3 linked regions of the Lonchura striata genome follow. The main gene of each other region encodes a partner of the protein of the gene in region 2 in a complex. Links are inferred from orthologs where the notes say so. Each region holds a gene or a part of one and is shown on either strand. Other genes may lie near its edges.

Region 1 (7,679 bases), on a different chromosome or scaffold from region 2:
AAAAAGGACAGGCTGACAGGTGAAAAGCACAGAGGGAGCTGCATCCATGCCCTCCCTGCTCAGGAAATATTGTGGTGCAAATAATGCAGTTGTGAACCCCAAGAATGGCCTGTGGCTTTCTGCTCACCAGTTCAGCACTGGGTACAGTGGTGTGAGAACTGAGGGCTACAAAGAATTTATCTTCAGATAAGCGGTGTACATTTGGGGTGTTTTTTGTTTTTGAGGCTGAATTGTTCCTGAGCTCAAAATCTTCAATTTTAAGCCAAATATCCTGTTATTCATTCCTGGGAACTGGGCACTAAGTCAACATTTACACTTCTAGTAGAAATGGCAAGAACTCACACGAGAACACCATCCAGCAATGAAACTGGCATTTGGTTTAGGGGAAATGTCAAGGCAGAACCCCTGAGTTGTGAGATAGAGGAGCAGTGGGCGAATAAGAGCTGTGTGAGACACGAGGGTTTTATCAGAACTGAAACATCAGCAGAAGCTCCACCACAGCCCCTCCGACGTCTGCATGCGTTAAAAATAAGGAATAAAATCGGATACTCGCAAGCAGAAAGAAAAAAATGCTGAATTACACAGAAAAAACAGCTGCTGTAGTAGGAAGCTGATTCTGAACTTCTTTACTCATCAGCTAAAGAAAGGGAATGGCTGAGGACAGCGTCGGCTCTAACACAAGCCCTGTAGCATTCCAGGAGCAGAACTTCCAAGAGATTTCTAAAAACAGAATCAGAACTATTCCTTTTCAGATAAAGTTAGCTCATATTCACCAAATTTATCCACTGTAAAGCAAGCTGGATGTTTGCGAAGGCTGTTGAAATCCCTAAGAATTCTTGCTTGAAAGCCCATCTTTAAAAATAAGAGGTTGTTTTAGAAATAAAACCCTCTGGGATGTGTAAAGGTGGTTCTTTAAACATCACCACTGCCATTTCAGCTGGAATCCTGGGTTTTGAGCTTTTCCTCCTTGCACCAATTCATGTCACCAAAGGCTTGCTTAGCTGATAATTATCTGTAGAAACGTTCCTGCTCGAAGCAGCCGGAGCACAGCAGAGTTTGGTGAATTCCCAGGAGCAGAATCCAGCCCCGACTCCCACACACGCTTGGTTTGCCTCGAAAAGCTGCGCCTGGTCCTCCCCCCACTTGGTCAGCATGACTAACACTCACAGGGAACTCGGTGCACAGCTCCTGCCAGGCCCTTCCACATTCCAGCTATTTCACAACCGAGGAAATGCTCCGAGAGACCCATCCGAGCTCCTCGGACCATTTACACCGAGGGGTTCGACTTTAAACAGGATTTACATGACAAACACAAAGCCGTTCTGAGGGGAGGGCGGCTCTGCTTGAGCCATTTCAATTCCTGATGCTCCATCACAGGAAGCACCAACAAACTTGGCAAAGCTGCGGGGTTGGAGCTGCAGAGGTTCAATCGAGGTGAGTTTCCTCACCCTTTCACCCAATGCAATTATTCCAACAGGGAGAGCAGCCCAACAGGGCCTCCAGCACTGCGGATATGTTTGTAGCAGAGAAAAATCAGTGGCATCAAACCACCCCCAAAAACTTTCCTTTCGGAGAACTCCTTTATCCATAAGGCTGTGCTCCTATTTAATTCCATTACAAACCCCATGAATAAAAGCAAAATAGCAATCCTCCACTTCAGCCACACTTCCCTTTTTTTTCCCCCCTAGAAGCGCTCCAAATCAGCAGCAAAAATAGCAATAAAGACTGCTGAATGACCTTGGAAAAATCCACTTTGCCTCGGTTTCTCTGCCTGGAAAATAAGGTCAATGGAATACCCTGCAAAGGGGTGCTGCGAGCCTCGCAAGACAAAGCTCAAAGTATTACATAAATACTTGGAATTTTAGTTATTGACAAAGCTACAATTTCAACACCAGACCTCTAGTCGCGACTCTAATCAACCTGTGGAATTTGCTTTGGCAGGAGCAGAGCAGCAAAGCCACAAACAAGGTCAATGTCAAACACGACAACATTTGGGGCAGTTTTATGGCCCGGCAGAGTCTCGGTCTCGCTGTGCTGGGGCAGAGCCGGGCTATCACTTCATCACACCGAGCTTTATCAGCCCCGAAGTATCACGTTCGCCTCGCACCACGGAGTATTTTCAGACAGAATATAATATCCTCCCACCGGGAGCTGCTCCGCCAAGGAAAGCTGATCTCCCACACCACCAAACCCAAGGCGATAGGCGGCAAAAAAGAATTGTTTGCTCCACGATAAAGCTCTGCCCAGCAAGAAAAAACACCAACTCAGCAGCCAAGGGCTTAGGGAGAAACAACCTCTGCCCTGCGAGCTCCATCCCAACCTCATTCCCGCACCCCACGAGGGTTTTGGGGGGGAGAGGAGGAGGAGGAGGAGGAAATGCCTCTCCTTGCTCGGAGCCGTCCGCGGGCGGGGCAGAGGCCGGAATGAGCGAGTTTGGGGAAGGGAGGACAAACCCATCCCGTCTAATGCCATCGCTAGAGGGAGCGGAGCGGGGCCTTGTGCAGCTGCTGCCGAGCTGCGGCGATTCCCCTCGGCCAGCCCTGCCTCTCCCTCCCCATCCCACCCACGAGCGGGGAAGCCAAAGGCCCGACCCCCCCACAAAGACGTGGAAAGGGCGGACGGGTGGAGCAGCGCCGCTCCCGGGGAGCTCTGGGTCTGTGGGAGAAAAGGAATGAGTAGGGATAAGGTGGCGTGAGAGAAGGAATTAAAAGCAATGGGAAGGAACGAGCAGGAAAGCACCGCCCGGCCCCGCTGCCTCAGCGCCAAGGCCGCGGGATGCGGGGCGGGGGCGCGGCGCGGCGAGCCGGAGAGGGGGCGGGGGGGGGAAGGAAACGAAAAGGCTGGAAAGGAGGGAAGAAGAAGGTGTCGGCAAACGCACCGGCGCGGTCGGGAGGCGCGGGCCGTGGGTCTGGCAGCGCTCGGAGGGTCCCGCTCGGAGCCCGCTGGCCGCGATCCGCCCTGGAGCACAAGATGGCGGCGCGCTGCGGCCACGTCAGTGCCCGCCCCGCGCGCGGCGCCACGGGCAGGCCGGGCGCGAGCGGGGGGCGTGGCCTGCGCCGGGGGGGCGTGGCCACGGCGGGGCGCCGCAGGGCCGGCGCGAGGGGGCGTGGCGTAGAGGCGCAATGGGCGTGGCCACGGCGGGAGCGAGGCTCTGTGGGGATGGGGGCGTGGCCTGGGAGTGGGCGTGGTCATGGTGGGAGTGACGGTATCAGGAGGGGGCGGGGCCTGGGTTGGCCACGCCCACTCCGCAGCGCGGGGCCGGGATCCCCCGGGAATGGGATGGGATAACGGGATAACGGGGTGATGGGATAACGGGATAACGGGATAACGGGGTGATGGGATAACGGGATACCGGGATAACGGGGTGATGGGATAACGGGGTGATGGGATAACGGGATAACGGGATAACGGGGTGATGGGATAACGGGATAACGGGGTGATGGGATAACGGGGTGATGGGATAACGGGATAACGGGGTGATGGGATAACGGGATAACGAGGTAACGGGGTGATGGGATAACGGGATGACGGGATAACGGGATGATAACAGGGTGGGACGGGGCTCGTGGGGACCGAGCCTGCCCTTCCCGCTCAGCTCCCCTTTCCCTGCACTGTGCCCTCCCCTTTCCGTGCGCCGTTCTCCTCCCGCGCCGTTCCCGCTTCCCTTCACGGTTCTTTTCCCGTTCCCCGTTCCCCTTTCCCTGCAGCGTTCCTTCACCTTCTCTACACCATTCCTTCCCTCTTCCCTGCACTGTTCCCCCTTCCCTTCATAGTTCCCCCTTTCCCTGCTCTGTTCCCGCTTCCCTTTACCATTCCTTACCTGTTCCCTGCACTTCTAATCATTCCCCCTTTCTCTTCACCATTTCCTTTTTCCTGCACCATTCCCCCTTTCCCTGCACCATTCCCCATTTTCCCTGAACCATTCCCCCTTTTTCCTGGACCCCTTTTCCCTGCACCATTCCCCCTTTCCCTACATCATTTCCATTTCCCTGCACCATTCCCCCTTTCCCTGCACCATTCCCCATTTTCCTGCACCATTCCCTTTTCCCTGCACCATTCCCCTTTTCCCTGCACCATTCCCCTTTTCCCTGCACCATTCCCCTTTCCCTGCACCATTCCCTTTTTCCTGCACCATTGCCTTTTTCCCTGCACCATTCCCCCTTTTCCCTGCACCATTCCCTTTTCCCTGCACCATTCCCCCTCTTTCCTGGACCCCTTTTCCCTGCACTATTCCCCCTTTCCCTGCACTATTCCCCCTTTCCCTGCACCATTCCCTTTTCCCTGTACCATTCCCCCTTTCTCTGCACCGTTCCCTTTTTCCTGTACCATTTCCCATTTTCTTGCACCATTCCCCCTTTCCCTACACCATTCCCCCTTTCCCTACATCATTCCCTTTTCCCTGCACCATTCCCTTTTCCCTGTACCATTTCCCTTTTTCCTGCACCATTCCCCTTTTCCCTGCACCATTTCCCCTTTCCCTTCACCATTCCCCCTTTCCCTGCACCATTCCCTTTTCCCTGCACCATTCCCCCTTTTCCCTGCACCATTCCCCCTTTTCCCTGCACCATTCCCCTTTCCCTTCACCATTCCCTCTTCCCTGCACCATTCCCTTTTCCCTGCATCATTCCCCTTTCCCTTCACCATTCCCTTTTCCCTGCACCATTTCCCCTTTCCCTGCACTATTCCCTTTTCCCTGCACCATTCCCTTTCCCCTGCACCATTCCCTTTTTCCTGCACCATTCCCCATTCCCAAAGCAGCCCACGATCCTCTCTGAGCTCCAGCTTCTCTGTACCTCAGTTTCCCCCACAGAGGGAAAATTCCTTTAAATTTTTTTTACCTCAGCAAATAATTTTCCTAATTTAAACTAGTATTAATTCGTTTATTACACAGCACAGAGGGAACAGGTCAGCACAGCAGGATCTTAACTCCACGTGGAAATAGAATAATGCACATGGTCCCAAAGCTCAAGAGGTGGGTGTAGAAACAACTGTGCACAAAAAAATTCAGGCTTATCTCCTTTCTGTTTTGGGTTAACTTTGAGATAAATCGAGGTCGTGTGCTGTCCCAGGCTAAATACTAAATACTTCCTTTGTTAACGAGAAGTTTTGAAACAGAGCAGGAAGCCACCAAAACTGCTTATTTCTAGATTTCCCCTCGATGCTCATAGGAGATAAGTACCTCAAAGTCCTCCATCCTCTGTTGGAATCACCCAGCATTACACAGAGAAGGCAGACAGGCAGATGGGCGTGAGCCCAAAAGCTTCTTTTCCTAAAATAATTGGGTCACACGCAAAAGAAATGGCAGCAACAGGGCTGAGAAGTGCCAGGAGGGAGTCTGGGCAGGAGGGAAGATCATCCCTGTGCTTCTTCCAGGGAGGCACCACCCCCATGCAGAGCAGGTTTAAATTCATATTATTATTTTGCTTAAGAAAGCCCCTAAATTGCATTAAATCTCCCCAGACGGTCACTCAGCAGCAGCAGCACTGATGGGCTAAGAAAGTGATGGCAAGGACACGCTGAAAATTCAAATTAATCCTGTTTTCCTGCACTGTGGAAGCTGGGCTGGCTGACATGGGGGGTTTCAGGGAGAGGAGGATGCTCCAGGGGACAGATTGCTGCCCAGGCATGGACAGCTCCCACTGGGATCACAGATGTCCCTGTCCCCTGCCTTTGTGACCTGTTTGGGACACAGCAGCCTCCAGGACCTGGTTTGAAAGAGTCTGAGTTGAACCAAAAATACCAAGTGAGATTTAAAGAGAATAAAGAGACTTTGCACTTGCTCAAGGCTTCTGGGGAGAATCTGCCTCTGTCCTTGCTGGATATTTTGGGTGAGCCCTGGGGCAGGAGCTGAGCTGGGTGTTTCTGTGTGTCTGTGACAACAGGAAGGTGCTTTTTCAGCAGAAAAAACCTGAATTTCTCCCCATCCCCAAATCCCCTCCTGGCCCCAGCTGAGCCAAGCAGCCCTTGTTTCACAGCTCTGTCTCCATGCCCGGGCAGTGAACCAGATCAGGGCTGCTCTGAGTTAAAAATAACCCTCCTCTCCTTTTCTTTTCCTTTTTTTTCTTTGGCTTTATTTTTAACCCAGAGCAGCTCCTCGTTTTAGCTGCCTCAGGGGAGAAGATGCTCAACCCCACCACCCCACCAGGGTGAAAATCCAGCTGCAGGGCGAATCAGAGGAGGTTATTTCATTATTATCACCCATGACACATCACCAGGGAGATCTGATTTCGTTATTCTCATCCTCTGGAGACCTGAGGGGACGCTGAGCTCGAGGTCTCGTCCCTCTGATTCATTGCTGTGATGCAGCTGGAACCCTTTGCCCTGTGACTCACAGCATTCGTGGAGAGAAGAAAGAAGCCTCCGTTTCTTTTTCAGCTGAGGGAGCAGAAATGCCCCTTTGCTTCCTTCCATCCTAAGAAAAACTCATGTGGGACAAGGACAAAACAGGAAGGGATCTCTCAGGGCAGCTCAGCTCATTTTCTGGGTGCTCCCGGGGTTCCAGAAAACTCCCTGGCTTTTCCTGGATGGCCCCTTTGGAGCTGGAGACTTTTCCTCCCTGCTGGGAGCCTCTGATGACAAATCTGCAGCTGAAATACACCCTGTTCTCACTGCCCTTTTGGATTAAAAAAAAAAAAAAAAAAAAAAAAAAAAAAAAAAAAAGGTGTTTGTGCAAGGCGATTTCTGAGGTTATAAAAATATCACCTGGAGTCTCAAAGCGCTTCCCAAGCCCTGCTTTTCCTTCTGCACCTTCCCCGAGGGAAAAACACCACAGGCTGGGTTTGCTCTTGCTTCAGGGCCCCCCAAAATAATCTTTTCTCCCAAGTGTGGGCAAGTTGTCTTTATTGAGAAGATTCTTGATGAGAACATTTGGTATAATGAGGTGGTGGAGACCCTTGAGCAGGCGGCAGCGATGTCCAACCATTAAATCCCTCCTGGTGGTGATGGAAAATTAATTTTGGGGTGGACACCCACCCCAAAAGAGTGGAAGGGGCTGAAGGACACTGGGACCCATCACCGCTCTGTTTTCTGCTGCCCTGGAGCTCCTGGCTGCTGTCAGGTTGAGGATTTCTCACCTCTGAGTCTCTCACCTGAAGGTGAGAATTGCAATTACGAACAGGAGCTGAGAAATTACAACACCCTCCGCCCCTCCAGCAATTTGCTATGTTGCCTACCAAAAATAGCCATGATTCCTGGGATTTCTGGTCCTGGGGTCACCTCCAGATGGGCTTGGGCTGTTGAAAAGACGACAGTTCTAATGTTGCTGCTCGTGTTTCACCATCCTGGACGGAAAAGGAAGGTGGAAAGAGGAGAAAAGCAAAAAAACTCTACACAGCTGCATGGAGAGGCAGAAAAATCAAGAGTATTCAGATCCAGAGCTGTTATTTTGCTGTGGTTTCTCCTCTCAGAGCTGATTTAGGTGGCAGAAGGATCCACTCAGCTGGAGCACCTTTGAGAGCCCCTTGGCTGTGGCGCGGAGGGCTGGAGAGCAGAGGGAGCAGATCAGCTCCGTGCTCCCAACACCGACTCCCAGGGATGTTGGGAAATTGCCTCACCTCTCTTGGCCTCATTTTTTCCCCTCCTTCTCTTGGAAGCAGCTGCACGTCATGACTCGGTGGCGTGCAGGGGAACCTGGCAGTGAAGATGTTCAACCTCAGCACTGCTGACTGCTGGCACCTCGG
Region 2 (7,375 bases):
CATTCTGACATAGCCATCCCAGTAAAGACACTCCAGCACAGGTACCCCAATATGGGCACCTGGGCATGGGGCACCCCAAAATGGGCATCTCAAAATGGGCATCCCGTCACACACCTCAGCATGGGGACTGCAACATGAGGTGCTTCAATATGGGCACCCCAAAACGGGTACCCCAGTATTGTCACCTGGAGACAGGGCACCCTGGCTCAGTCACGCCACCCTGAGTGTCCTGTAAAGGACACTCCAAAAAGGGCATCATGGTGTGGGATTCCTGGCAAGGACACTCCAACACAGGCACCCCAATATGGGTACCCAGGTATGGGACATCCCAAAACGAGCACCCCAAAATTGACATCCTGTCATGGGAACCCTGGCTGGACCCTTGGAGGCTGAACAGCCCCAATTTCGTTTCTTCCCTTCAATTACACGTGTCTTTCCTTGTGATTTACATAAAAATCACAATTAACATAACCAAGCACAACCTCTTTAAACATCATTGGGATGTGAAACCCACAGAGTGCTTTGAGTGCCAGCAATACGGAGAAACCTCTTGGAAGCACTGCCACAGGGGAGAACCAAAAAGCAGCCCAGACCCAGCTCCATCGGGGATGTGATGGCTGGGATTGTGCTTTGTGGGACTCAGCAGAGCTCTCCCAAGGCACAGCATTCCTTAGGGATACTCTCTGTCAGTGGCTGGAGAGGGAAGATTCCTTCCCTGGGAATGCTGTCTATGTATGTGCAACAGGGAAAACAGGAGGTGGCGTAATTTATTAAAAAAAACCTAAAAAATATCTGACCTGCAAAAGCCAAGAAAGACAAAAGCTGGGAATTTTAAGATTTAGGTATCACTGGTGGCAGCAATTAGGTTTAAAGCAATGCTCTTAACTAAAGGTGATCATAAGAGGATCCCAAACCCGTCAGCAATCACAGGAAGAAGAGTGAAAAAGTCAGTTGTGTCCCAAATACAATTTTTATGGCTGAACTATGTCAGGCTATCTCAGGAAGAGAAATCCTTGGAAATTCAGTCGGGAGGGATCAAGTCTCGAGTCCAAATCCATCTGTAGGAGATGCTCCCCATCCCTCGGGGTGCTGCATCTCCCAGCCTGGGCTTCCCTGCCTGGTGGTGTGAGGGTGTGACAGAGTGACAGTGAGACAAAGTGACAGTGTGACAGCGTGATAGTGTGACAAAGTGACAGTGTGACAGTGGCTGAGCTCCACTGCAAAGGGCTGGGTCAAAACAAGGGATTTTCACAAGGTTTTTGGGGATCCCCTCACAGAGCAGCCCAGTCAGAGGCAGGGGGGCAGTAGAGGGGACAGTGACAGCACAGGTGGGCACAGCCAGCCCTTCCCAACCACGGGCTCATCCTGGTAGCTGGATGTTCTCCAGACCATGAGGACTCCAGCAAACAGAACTCTTCCCTTTGACTTTTTCCCTTAAAAAGGGAAACCTCCTTTTTCCTTTAAAAAGGGAAAACCCCTCCTGCATAGGGGCTGATGTGTGCAGCTATTTCTGAATAAAATCAACACAACCCCTGAGCTGAGCTCTTCTCTCTGCCCCGGGACCAACACAAACAGGCTGCAAAACCCAGGCTGAAGGCAGAGAACAAAAGGAAAAACACGGGGAGCAAGAGAAATCCTTTTCCTTCTCCTGTTGTGCAGCAGCTCAGAATCCCAGGTGAATCTTGGCAAGGTCGTGTCTCCTTTTTGTTTGCAAGCTCCTTTCTCTTTAGTTCCCTCCTTTCCCCGATGCTGGAATCCTGCTCTGAAGATGAAGATGGGGTGGGAATGCAGCCCCTGTGCATTTTGTTTTCCCTCTCCCGTTCCCTGTCCCACCCACCTGCAGTGGGGACATGGCACCCACAGGTGGGGGCTTGTTCAGGGGTGTTGGGCACGTGGGTAGAGGACAAGCTGTGGTCACAGGGACACCAAACCACTGCCCACTCTGTGCCCACACGTGTGGGGACACTCACAAAGCTCCATGTCTGCCTGGCCATCACCCATCGTGTCACCTGTCACAGCTTTCCCACACCGACACTGGTCACCTGGGGCAGTGGGTGACGGTGTTTAGTGGGTGCTCAGGTGTGGCAGCCCGTGGAGCTGCATTCCCAATAAAGACATGAAATAGATCCCAAAATTTGGCTCTATCAGCTGTGCAGCCACTGCTGACACCCACGGGCAGAGGGGAGAGGTGCAGCTCTGCCAGCCCCACTCTGCGGGACCCCCACCCCATGGAAGGAGCTGCAGCCCCATGCTGGGATCCCATCCCTGTGAAGGTACCCCTGATCCCATGTGGGGACTCTCAGCCCCAGAAAGGACCTGCAGACCCATGGAGGCGTCTCCATCCTTATGGAGAGTTCTCCAGCCCCATGCAGTGACCCCCGACCCTGTGCAGGAACTCTGAGCCTCAGAAAGGACCTGCAGGCCCACAAAGGGACCCCCATCCCCACAGAGGGACCTCCATCCCCATAGAGGGACCCCGTTCCCACGGGAGGACCTTCATCCCCACAAAGGGACCCCATTCCCACGGGAGGACCCCCATCCCCTGGAAGGACCCCCATCCACATGGAGGGAGCCCCATCCCCATGGAGGGACCCTGTTCCCACGAAAGGACCCCCGGTCCCCATGGAAGGACCCCCATCCCCAGGGAAGGATCCCCAGCCTCACGGAAGGACCCTCATCCCCACGGAAGGACCCCCATTCCCACGGAAGGACAAGGACCCCCATCCCCACGGAAGGACCCCTGTCCCCACGGAGGGACCCCGTCCCCATGGAGGGATCTCATTCCCACGGAAGGACCCCTGTCCCCATGGAGGGACCCCGTCCCCATGGAGGGACCCCGTCCCCACGGAGGGACCTCATCCCCACGGAGGGACTCAATCCCCATGGAGGGACCCCATTCCCACGGAAGGAGCCCCATCCACATGGAAGGAGCCCCGTCCTCATGGAGAGACCCCCCATTCCCACGGAACGACCCCCGTCCCCATGGAGGGACCTCATTCCCACGGAAGGACCCCTGTCCCCACGGAGGGACCCCATTCCCACGGAGGGACCCCATTCCCACGGAGAGACCCCCGTCCCCACGCGCGTCCCCGCCGCGCGCGCCCGCGCTGCCACGTGGGACCCGCGGGAGCGCGCGGCGGGGGCGTGGCCCGTGACGGGGCGTGGCCAGCGCTGGGACAGTGACACCAGTGGCAGCAGTGACGCGGCTGTCACGGGGCGGGGAGGGGATGAACCCCAGAATAATTCAAGTGTAAGCGACAACACTGCGCCATCAGCTCCCACCTTCCTGCTCCGGCAGGGCCATCCCAGAGCACACAGGGCGCAGGATTGTGTCCAGATGGTTCTGGGATGTCCCCAGTGAGGCAGACCCCACGCTTTCCCTGGGCAGTGTGTTCAGTGCTTGATCACCTGCACAGCAAAGTTCTGCCTCACGTCCAGGTGGAAGTTCCTGGGCATCAGTTCCTGCCCGTTCCTCTGGTGTCACTGCTGTGCCCCACGGGGCAGAGGCTGGGCCCTGCTCTGAGTCCTCCCTGCAGACACACAGGGCTCAGGGCTGCTACTCTGGAGGCTGAACAGCCCCAGGCCCCAGCCGTTCCTCGAATGAGAGATGCTCCAGTTCCTTCATCATGTCCAAAGCCCCTATTCCAGCAGCTCCACATCTCACTGATCCCGAGAAACCCAGAGCTGGACACAGCACTCCAGCTGCGCCCCAGCAGGGCTGAGGAAGGGGCAGGACCAGCTGCCATGTCCTACCACCGATGCTCTTCCTAACACAGCCTGGGACCCCACCGGCCTCTTCGCCCCGAGTTCAGGTCCAGCAGCTCATTAAATACTCAGTTTGCTCCAAGCTCTTCCAGGGTTGCGGTTTTCTCTCGTGCGTTTGCAGCTGTTTGCTGTTTCCATCCCATGGGATAAGAGGGGCTGGATGCCCCCGGCCCTGCGTCCTCCTGAGGGGCAGAGTGGGCGGAGCATACACAAGTTAGTGGGCGTGGCTTTGCTGAAGGGGCGGGGCGGGCTCGGGGCGTGACCGAACACGTCGTGAGGGGCGTGGCCTGAGCGCGGTGGGCGGGGCTGGAGAGCGGCAGCGAGGCGGACGGTGAGTGGCCAGAGAGGGAGGGGGCGTGTCCGGAGAGCCGGGCGGCGGGGCAGCGCCGCGGTGCGGAGGCGTGTCCAGACACTTGGAGGCGTGTCCTAGGCGCTGGGGGCGTGGCTGGAGAGCGGCGAGGCGGCAGGGGCGTGGCCAGACGGAGTGGGCGGGGCTGGAGAGCGGCGCAGCGGACGGTGCTGGCCCGGGGGCGTGGCCGCCGGTCGGGCGTGGCCATGTCGGGGGCGTGGCCGAGCCCTCAGCTGACCGGCCGCCATTTTGTCGGTGCCGGATCCCCAGCGCCGCCTGGAGCTGCGCCCGCGGCCGGGGTCGCCCGCGCCCGCCCGTCCGCCAGGGCAGCTCCGCCCGTGCCCTGCCGCTCCCCTCGGCATGTGAGCGCCCCGGCACCGCTGCTCTCACCCGGCTCGAGCGGCAGCAGCACCGCGGCGGCCCCCCCGCCCGGGCCCGGCCCCTCAGCCCGGCGCAGGCCCCGCCGCCGCCATGGCGCTGAAGATGGTGAAGGGCAGCATCGACCGTATGTTTGACAAGAACCTGCAGGACCTGGTGCGCGGCATCCGCAACCACAAGGAGGATGAGGTGAGGGGACCCTTCCCTGTGCTCCGGCCCGGCGATGTCGCTGCTGGCCGCTGGGGCTGTGTCTGCGAGGGAATGTTGGTTTGGGAAGGGGGAAGCGGGAGTCAGAACGAGGAAGGTGACGCTGGGGTGTGGGGCAGGAGGGACAGGCTGGGGGACAGCAGGAGAGTTAGTAAGGGAGGGCCATGCTTGGTGCTCACCTTTCCATTCACTGTGTTGTGGTGTTGAGATCCGTGATATACATACGGAGATATATATATGTGTAGACATATGCACACATATATACACGCAAATGTATGCATGATTATTATAGAGGAATAATGGAGAGGGATTCCTTCCTCACCAGCCCTACAGTCACGTGCTGTAGTCAGCTATGTATTCTTCACCCTGAAGCTGTTATACAGGAGGATGAAGCTCCTAATTCAGCTTTCAGACCATTCATGTTTAGTACCTCCTGACTAAAATGTCCTTCTCTCAGAGCTGTTCTAGGCAGCAATCATTTCTCCGTGTCGGCCTGTTATCCACTCTTGTGTGAGAAGCACGTGATCAGGAAATTAGTATAGGTGAAGTAATTAGTCATCAAGAACGTGTTATGTGAGACTCCACAGTAAAGTGTCACATGGTAATTGAGAAGTAACGGGCCCCAATGTCACTTGTGTTCATCTTCAAGTAACTCATGAAGCTTGAGGAGCTTTCTTAATATTGGTCTAACAGCTGGGCTTTGCTAGTGTGTTGGGGGATGGCTCTAGAGTCAATATCAGCTATCAAAAGCATCTGGAAAAGTTGTAAACTTTTAACTGAATGAAGAACTTTACTAGGAAAACTGATCTTCTTGCTGGTGCTATTGAGCTGAAACACAAAATACAACTTCCAAAATCTGTGTAAGCCCCTTGTGCACAGGACAAGGGGTTGTTTGGTAGTGAGCATACCTGGGAAATTTCTGTTTTTCACAGAGTGACAGAATATGCTGTGTTGGAAGGGACCCACCAGGATCATTGAATCCAATTTATTTTGGTATATGTTAAATTTATGGTATTGGTTTGATGGCAGAGGAAGGCAGGGCTGCTGTGCAGTGCCCTGAAAAATGTGTGAAACACCACAAAGCAGCAACAGCTTATTTGTATGGAATTTATGAGCCTAGTGTGTTGTGCTAGAGCAGGACCTGGTGAGCAGTATTCTTATGGAGCCCCTCCAATGTGTTGTGCTGCTTTTAGTAAATCTGCTTTATTCCTTTGTGCATAGGACAAAAAGTGTTTCATCAGCTGTCAAACCCCTGAGGATCCTTCTGGTGAAGGTCCAGGCCTTTGTGGCACTGGTTCTTTGAGAAGTATTGAATGCTTTTTCTAAAATAATTTTGTGACAAACAGCTTCGTAAAGAGAGTTCAGAAGCACACCGAGCTTGTTCTCAGTCTGTGATAAGAAATGGTTAAAATGAATTGGCCTTTGTGCCCTTTGGCGTTAGGAAAAAAACACTCCTTGGACAATTTTGTAGGGCTGTGTGGGAAGCTGTTACTGGGGTATGTGCACACTCTGGGATTCAGTGAGGTCGGAGCAATACCTTGTGTCAGAACAGCTGGGCTGCAGCATGATGGGATTTTAAACTCTTCAGTTTGGAGTACTAAAGGTGAGATTTTGAAACAGGTAACTGTAGGGATGATTCCTTTTCATATCCTCACGAGCACAGCAAAAATTAAACCCAAACTAGAATGTGTTCAGCTGATTAAGACATTGCACTGGTAAAACCTGTGTGTTTGAGAATCCTTCAAATCATTTCTCTTAGTTCCAGAGAGTGGCTGCAAGTCCAGGAAAGGACTGTGCCTTTTCCTGGCTCAGCTGGAGAGAGCTGTAAATCTGCTGTTGAGCTTTTGGGTGTGGATTCAGTGCTTCCCAGGCAGTGGCCAGGGACATTGGCTAATTTTCAGGTGATGTTACAAAATCTGAATGCTGTTTTAGAGGAACTAGCTGCAGAAATTCTTCCTCTTTTCCCTACAGTGTTTCCATTGTCATTGTATCTGTTTAATGTTGCTCCAGTGCTGTAGTTCAACCAACATTTGTGTGTCTCAAGGTAAGTGTCTATGCCTAAGACAGAAACACTATCCTGTTCAGAACAGCAAATTTGTTTAAAACAAACAGTGTGATTTAGTGGGGAGGATATTGACTATTGGTCTTGGCTCAACAGGAGTTTCTCCAGGAAGAGTTCCAGTCTCTGGAAAAGAGCTACTGTGGTTGTTAAATATCAGTGATAGGAAGAGAAATGAAGGCAAGATTGTTGTTTTGACTTCTGATTTACTTGTGCTTTTTGCAGGAGGTTAGTTTATTTACATGTCTTGGGTTTTGTGTTTTGGAATTTAATCACATGGAAAAATCTGCCATCACTTATTCCCTCATCTCTCTGGACAGTCTGTCCTGGTAGATCTGAGACGGAAAGTTTTATTCCTTTCCACTTCTTACGCAGATACCACATGAGCATATCTGGTATTTCACAGCCCATCGAGGCTGTACCAGTGCCTGGTACCCCAGTTCACAGTGGGGCTTTTCAGTGCAGTTCTTTGACAGCCCCATTGTCTTCTTGCTTGGTGGGTTTGTGTTCTTCCTATGTTGCTGTGACCCTAAATCTCACATGCCAAGGTGTGTCCTGAAGTCAGAGCAGGCCACATCTCTTCACTGATAAGTTTTGGGTGCTCCTCAGCTCCTTAG
Region 3 (7,094 bases), on a different chromosome or scaffold from region 2:
TGAAATTGTTTTTAAAAGGAAGTAGTCCTTTGAGAATAGTCAAAAGTTGACTCAAATCAGTGTTTGGTAGACATAACAAAATATGCAGTTTCCTCTGTGCTTTCACCAGTAGCAATTACAGCCTGCATGAGAATTTGTGCAGCATTTAATCTACTGTCTGATGAGCTTTCCAATAACACACTTGCATGGCACCTCTGTTCAATTTAGTTCCAGTATAAATCTTCTAACTGCTGGCAAGAGAGTTCCATCTCTTATCAACAGAACAATATTAGATTCTGAATAATCGAACAATATTAGATCCTGAATAGCTGCAGTTCCCTTTGGGACCTGTAAGAATAGAAAGCTTTGCTGGAAAAGCTAGAGTTTCTTAGAAAAAAAACCCACACCAAAACAATTACAAATTCCTTGCTAAAACTACATTTTTACATGGAAATGGAACATTTTGAACACTACTTAGATCTGAATCAGTAGGTTTAGGACTACTAACGGACGATTTAAGAAATTCACTCTCTGAAAGCAGTAGAATAGACAGATAGGGCCAAATGGACAGAGATAAAGTGAGTCTCATGTCACATATTTACTGTCCATAATATTTTCGGGAATATAATTAGGCTCATATTCCAGCCAAACCATTAAGAACTCTGAATGGACAAGGCAGAAGGATTCAGTCATAGGATATCAAAGCCCCAACTCAGCAACTCTTTGTGAAGATGTTTTCCACCATGCTCACCCAGTTCACTCCTCCAGTAAGTCTGACAGGCCAGAACAACAGTGCTCCTAGCTTTATACTACTGTGTTTCACAGGCTCTCTTTCAAGAGGCACTCAAGGTTCCAGAAAGGACAAGCACAGTGCCAGAGAGCCATGCACTACTGGAACACTCCATCAGAGCCAGCAAGCATCACTGGAACTCTGCTGTGCATGACAGCCCTTCCCAATGTGTGTGCACTCTGCCCCAGCCAGTCCAAACACAAGGCAGAAAGAAGGCACATAAACACTTCCTTCTCCTCCAAGAGGACAGAGCAAAGCAGCCCCCCTAATTATTTTATCTTGTATGAATGAATCTCATGAATACTCTAAGAAGTTCCTGTTAAAAGGCTGCCTTTCATACATTATGTTAAATAAGCATAAAAAAGATTCAACTTATCTTCGTTGTATTAATTTTTTGAAGTTATATGTGAAGCTGTAAGTTGGAGATAAAATAAATGGATATAAAAGGAAGGAACTTAACACTTAAAAAAAATAATTTGTTTAATTTATTGCCATTATTACAGCCATAAAATACAGTCACCACTCATCTCCTACTGTTCAGACTTCTCTACCTCCAGGACTTCAATTTCTCTTTTCTGAATCCTCATGACAAGGTTTTTATTAAAGATTCCTCATGTAAGGAGATCTTTATATGAGAGAATAATTGGGATTTAGCTGATCTTGCACAACAGAAAATTTAATTTCTGAATAAAACCAGCAAAATCAAACATGAGAGGGCATAGGCTATTCATCAAGTTTGATTTGCCATTTGCAAGGAATTTTCAGATATGTGCATACAGGCAGCAAGGAATCTATTTGTCCTCTTTCCCCCAAAAAAAACCCCAAGTTTGCTTGTTTTGAGTTAGCATGCAATATGACAGATGTTTTACAGAGCAATATCATTCAGATATTTCATCTTCTCTTTTTTTTCTCTTCAATAAATAAATGAGAAGCTATGTATGATTCAAACCCGCCGGGAACTGCCACAGCAAAATCATTCTCATGGTTGTCACAGTCAGTTCTTTTGTAAAACATTGTTTCCATCATTTTACCTCATGCATGAGTAACTGAAGTTGGTTTTGCTTTTCTTGTAAAGTACCTTTTCCTCTCCCATACTGCAGTCTGCCTGCTATGAACAAAAATTTTCATCATTCAAGTATGATTTTTTGTCTGGTTGGTTATAGAAGAGCTACACTGAATAGTGATGCTATTCCTCCAGTTTGATTAACACTTAATGGGTACGAACGATCCATCATACTGAAAAGACGGTAAGTGCATTACTAATTCACAGCAGATTTGAACTGAAACAAAAGAAAAGAACCGACAACCTCTACTCAGTTGCCGCTGGGTACTGAACAGGGCGGGAGCGATGTGCAGCGCATAGTGATGGATGATAACGCGTTTATTCCCAGCGCATATTAGGCAGATCCGCACTCACAGGGCCCCTCGCTAATTAAGCGGTTACAGCTGGAGTAGAAACACCACGGCTGCAGCAGGGCTGCTGAAGATCGACCCAGGTGAGCCGGCGCCGCTCCCCGGCCCGCCCTGCCCCTCCCGGCCCGGCGTGGCTGCGGCTGCCGCACCGCCCCGCTGCAGGCCCCGCGCTGCCCGGTCCCCCTCACGGCCCTGCGCCTCACGGCGGAGCGTGAGCGCTGCACCCCGCCGCTACCGCCTCTGCACGCTCCGCCGGGCGGTTCCGCACCTCCGCCGCAGCCCAGAACAACGGCGTGGGGGATGGTACTCGAACACGGCGACGATTTTGTATTTAAATGGGCACCGAACAAAACGGGAAGTCTCGGATTTGCAGGGCAGCCTCCCGGTACCGCCGCTGGCGGGGATGTCGCCCCTGCCCGGCGTCGGCCGACCAGCGCGACCGGGATCGGGCACGGGCGGCTCCCGCCCGGCAGGGATCCCGTCCCCCCGGGCACGGACAGAACCGCCCCACTCCCTCACGGCCCGGGCCCCCCGCGCCCCACGTACCTCCCCCGGCCCGGCACGGCCCGTCCCGCTCCCGGGACAGCGGCCAAGATGGCGGCGAGGCCCGGCGGCGGCGCGGGGCCGCCCCCCGGCGGAGGCGCGGCCGGCCGGGGCGCTGCCTGCGCCGAGCGCCCGAGCACGGCCCCCTCGCTCCCCGGGCCCGCCGGCCCCGCTGCCACGGCCGCCCCTCGCCGCCGGTCAGCACCGCTCGGCCCCTTCGGCCGGCAGGAGACGGGAGCGGCCCCCGGGCGCTAAACCCACCCGGGCCGGCGCCGCGGCAGCGCGCGGCTGGGCAGGGACGGCGGGCGGTCCGGCTCCGCTCCCCGCCCCGTCAGGCGCCCGGCGCGGCCGTACGTTCGTCCCGGCGCCCCCGCCCCCCGGTGGCGGTGCCGGCGCGGTCGGCGGGGCGGGCCGGGGCCGGCGGGCGGGCCGAGGGGAGCGGAGCGCGCCGCACGCCGCCCAGCGCGAAGATGGCAGCGGGGGAGCCGCAAGCCAAGAAGCTGAAGCTGGAGCAGAAGCAGCTGAGGTAACGGGCGCCGGGACGGGCTCTGCTTCGCCAGCAATCCCTGCGGGTGCCGGAGGTCGCTGGTGCTACTCCCGGCGGAGGGCGAGACACGTGCCGCCTCCGCGGAGCGGTCGCACTCCGCGGCAGGGTCCCGCCGCGCCGGGCTGCGCGCGGGGGCGCGGGCGGCCCCTCCGCGGCACCGGGCGCACGTGCAGGCGGCGGCGGGGCCGTCCCGCCGCGCTGCCCCGGCGGCTGCGGTGCCGCTGCCCGGGCCCGGCGGGTGCCCGGGGGCGCCGCCGCACTGGGCTCCCCGCAGCCGAGGCAGGGGCGGGTGGGCGGCGCGGGGGTCGCGCTGTGCCCTGGGGTCGGGTCGGTCGGTGCGAATGGGCTGCTGAGAGTCTGGATGGGTTGCGGTAAAACGGAACGCTGCTCGCAACGATGGCCCCGTACTAGAGCACAGCTGGGATTGTCACTGCGTCTGCCTCCCCTTTGAATATAAAATACCCCGATTAATACTCTCGCGAGGGTGTCTCTGTCCCTGTTAGATAGGAAACTGAAAATCCGAGTTAACAGTTACATTTTCTTCAAGACATACCGTATAATTTAAAATATCTTCATATTGAAATAATCTGTGCGATTTGCTATACTTCCTCATTTCTGTGATCACAGTACAATAGCACTGGCTGAATCCCATTTGAATGATGGCCTGCACAGACATAAGTAATTTATTTTTAAATGTCATAGCAGAAAAATGTAAGGTTTCTCAATGGAGGATGCACAGTCAAAATGAGAACTTTGAGTACTGAGAGCTGTAGAGCAGTTTTGGTGGTTTTTTTTTTTTTTTTTGGTACAGTTTCAAGTTTGTTTTCTCAGGATTATTCAGATATTAATATAATTGGAAGATAGCTGACTTCCTTCCAAGTGTTCAGTGTGTGAAGAGAATTAATGACATAAGCCTTGAAAGGTCCAAAATTATCTTGGCGATAACTGATAACCAATAACTCACTCAAATATAGCATAAAGGGGATGTACTTTAGTCCTGAGATGAGAACAATTTTTTTGGTACTGATGTCCTTATTAAAAGAGCTAATCCTATTAAATTTGTCAAAGTCAGGGTACTTGCTTCTTTGGCAGCTAAGTGACTTTTCAAGTTTAGTAATGGTTGACAAGCTCAGTTGCAGATAATAGAAGAGGAAAGATGTAACTGAGCTCTGAAAGCAAATAAATGGCATGCAGCAAGGTAAGGTTATAGTAAAAAAGCAACAGTTATCTCCATGTCTCCTTAAAGCAAGATGAGGGAAGAAACTGGAAGCTGCAATGTTTGTTTATAAAGTTTATTAGAGGAAAAAGCATTTTAAGATGAAATATGAGAAAAATTTCAAATCTGAGAATATTATTGGTGTACCGAGTTAAAAATTTAAAGGTTGTTTGCAGTGGAATGAAAGGCAATGGTGACATACCATGTCTGGTAATGACTGACTAAACTGCAAATACTACTTCTGTAAGGTATGATAGATAAAACAGGAAGAATGTTGTTAGAACTTGCATATGTTAATTCTGTTGCAAGTTATTTCAAGCCAAAGTATAAATAGGCTCCAGTTCTGTTTCATAAGAGGAGAAATGCCATAATTAACTGGTGATCAAATAAAGCTAATGTGTGCTGTTTGCCACAGGTTGAACTCATGAAGCAGTTGGTGGTTGGACTAGATTTAGCAGACTTCAGCACTCATATGAATGTAGTGGCAAGAACATGTTTGGCTGAGTGCTGTTGTGGGACGTAAAAGCAACTAGAGAAGGTACCAGACTGGTCGAGGTTCCATGACTTGGCTGTATTTGTAACGAGATTCAGTTGTAATGCAAAGCACTGCTAGATATGTTTGGAAACGGTTCCTCTATAGATTAGAAAAGAAGTGAAAAATCACTTAATAATTTCGGAGGTCAATAGCATCGTACTTGTTATACCAAGAATTTGAGGGGATTATAGAGAATGATTGCTTGTTCTCAATATGTAGATCTGGGGCTCTCCAGTCTCTTCAGAAAACCATGTCTAATGGATTCAACAAGGCTGGTTGTACCGTATTTATCCTCCCATATGATATCAACCTCAACCTTTCCCATGACTACCATGAAAACTATTTTAGTATAAAAAAATTAATTCTGCAATGCAATACAAGCCATACCTCATCAACAATAGCAAAGGTTTCCTTTCCCTGTTTTTTCTCTTTTTTTTTTTCATAATTTTTTCTCTCAAAGTGGCTTCATAGAGGTTTCATGGTTACATTTTTAGACCCCTTTGATCTTTTCAGGCAAAGGAAAGCAAATATCGCTCCCTCATGAGGTAGGCAAAGCTGACTGGGTTCAGGAAGCTACACTTGTTTGAAAGCAGTATAGGATGGCTGGCTTTTGCCACCCAGTGAGCAGCATACAAAGCCCGAGACCCAAACTGGCATTCCCAGCTCAACAATGTGTTGTGCTGACATTCATCTGCTGGGCGGCAGGTTTTGCATTGTCTTTATTGACTCCTGCAAATCCCCACTACAAACCAATGGGCTTTAGGCAAGGCCATTAATGTGTGCTGCCTTGTTTTGGGCTTCTGACTGCATCTGTGCTCTGTGAACTGCACTGTTTGAACAGAAAATGGGCTTGCAAAACTGCAAATGGCTTGTCATGGAGTGGTAGCACCAACTTACTAGAAACATCATGAGGTGTTACTTTAGAGGAAAATTACTAAGGATTTGTGTTCTTTTATATGTGGTTTTGTTAGGGAAGTCTGTGAAAACCACAGGCAGATTCTCTTAACAGTCTGGTACAGATATGAAAGAATTTGGACGTTTTCTGTAGAAATGTTTGAGCTTAAATGTATGTGTCTGTATAGAAATATGCATGTTCATCTTTTCCTTCTGCACACAAACTTGTCAAGTCCCCTGTGCTGCATTATGACCTTCTGGCTGTTCTGCAGCTGCTGTATTGATTGAATAGTCATGACGTGGCTAGTTGTTTGAACAAATCAGTTTATCTAGTAGGCAATGTAAGCACTGAGTTTGGCAAATAGTTCATGCTAAAAGTAAAAAGTACAGTATTCCTCCTCTTCTGCTACTATTAGAGATCTCTTCATTTTAAGAATAAATTATCAAATACTCTGTGCATAATTGTTATCAAAAGCAGTCTTTTGTCATTACTGTTCCACTAGATTTTAGAAAGCTTGGTACTAGTGGCTGTAAAAAATATTGCTAATTTCACACATTTTAAATTTCCTTAATAAGCTGGCTTTTAATTTAGCTTATTCTTTCATCAGCTCTTTATAAATGAAAGAAGATTTTGAATATTTTAAGTTAGCTGTGGCTAAGCTTTCAGTTAGAATTTAGTAAATAACGTTTTTCTCTCTTTTATCTCTTGGTTTGGGTTTGTATTTTTTTTGGGGGGGGGGCGTTTCTTTTTGTTTTTTAATTTCACCTTACTCCCCATTTGTATTCATTTCAGTTTTTGTCTTCATGGCTTATAGTTTTCTTACTTTTCTATTTCTTATATCTGCAAACACAGGTAGTGTTTTCCGTGTTGGTACACATAATGTCCTCAGGTCAAAGAAGGAGCTGAAACTCAAGCACTTTTCTGTGTTTGTTCCCAGAATTAGAGCAATAGACTTTTTCTTCAGATGAATATTTAGTCTTCTTTAGAAATCAGACAAATACTCTTGAGGACACTAGCCACAGACGTTGCTAATTTTGTTTTATTTAGGATGCAACAGCAGTTACCTTCCCTTCCAAGCTGTGTTGACAGAAATACATCCAAAACCGGAATGACTTGCAGCATGGAAACTCCTGTGCTGTTACAGTGCAGGCACTGGTTTCCATTGTTCAGATGTGT

Evidence for each region.
Region 1: the proteins of AP3D1 (region 2) and ARF1 are in contact, whole or in part, in a cryo-EM structure (PDB 9C5B), measured with the Homo sapiens proteins. The link is inferred for Lonchura striata from reciprocal best matches to the Homo sapiens genes AP3D1 and ARF1. Residues at the interface, in NP_003929.4 of Homo sapiens: Lys48, Asp50, Phe77, Ile80, Glu81, Ser84, Asp107, Met110, Leu111, Thr112, Thr113, Asn114, Gln115, Arg117, Lys118; in NP_001019397.1 of Homo sapiens: Tyr35, Ile46, Pro47, Thr48, Ile49, Gly50, Phe51, Asn52, Val53, Glu54, Trp66, Lys73, Ile74, Leu77, His80, Tyr81, Gln83, Asn84.
Region 3: the proteins of AP3D1 (region 2) and AP3M1 are in contact, whole or in part, in a cryo-EM structure (PDB 9C5C), measured with the Homo sapiens proteins. The link is inferred for Lonchura striata from reciprocal best matches to the Homo sapiens genes AP3D1 and AP3M1. Residues at the interface, in NP_003929.4 of Homo sapiens: Lys29, Glu388, Gly389, Thr390, Thr391, Arg393, Glu429, Arg432; in NP_001307192.1 of Homo sapiens: Ser25, Ser27, Asp30, Tyr31, Glu34, Pro52, Asp104.

The regions. Positions count from the first base shown.
Region 1 is NC_134603.1:154,872,851-154,880,529, forward strand, and holds the start of ARF1 (ADP-ribosylation factor 1), read right to left. Parts: upstream 3,012-7,679; 5' UTR 2,879-3,011; intron 1-2,878. UniProt on the Homo sapiens protein: Small GTPase involved in protein trafficking between different compartments. Modulates vesicle budding and uncoating within the Golgi complex. In its GTP-bound form, triggers the recruitment of coatomer proteins to the Golgi membrane.
Region 2 is NC_134630.1:2,845,437-2,852,811, reverse strand, and holds the start of AP3D1 (AP-3 complex subunit delta-1), read left to right. Parts: upstream 1-4,374; 5' UTR 4,375-4,585; coding exon 4,586-4,681; intron 4,682-7,375. UniProt on the Homo sapiens protein: Part of the AP-3 complex, an adaptor-related complex which is not clathrin-associated. The complex is associated with the Golgi region as well as more peripheral structures.
Region 3 is NC_134609.1:11,960,473-11,967,566, reverse strand, and holds the start of AP3M1 (AP-3 complex subunit mu-1), read right to left. Parts: upstream 3,012-7,094; 5' UTR 2,987-3,011; intron 2,822-2,986; exon of another isoform or gene 2,729-2,821; intron 1-2,728. UniProt on the Homo sapiens protein: Part of the AP-3 complex, an adaptor-related complex which is not clathrin-associated. The complex is associated with the Golgi region as well as more peripheral structures.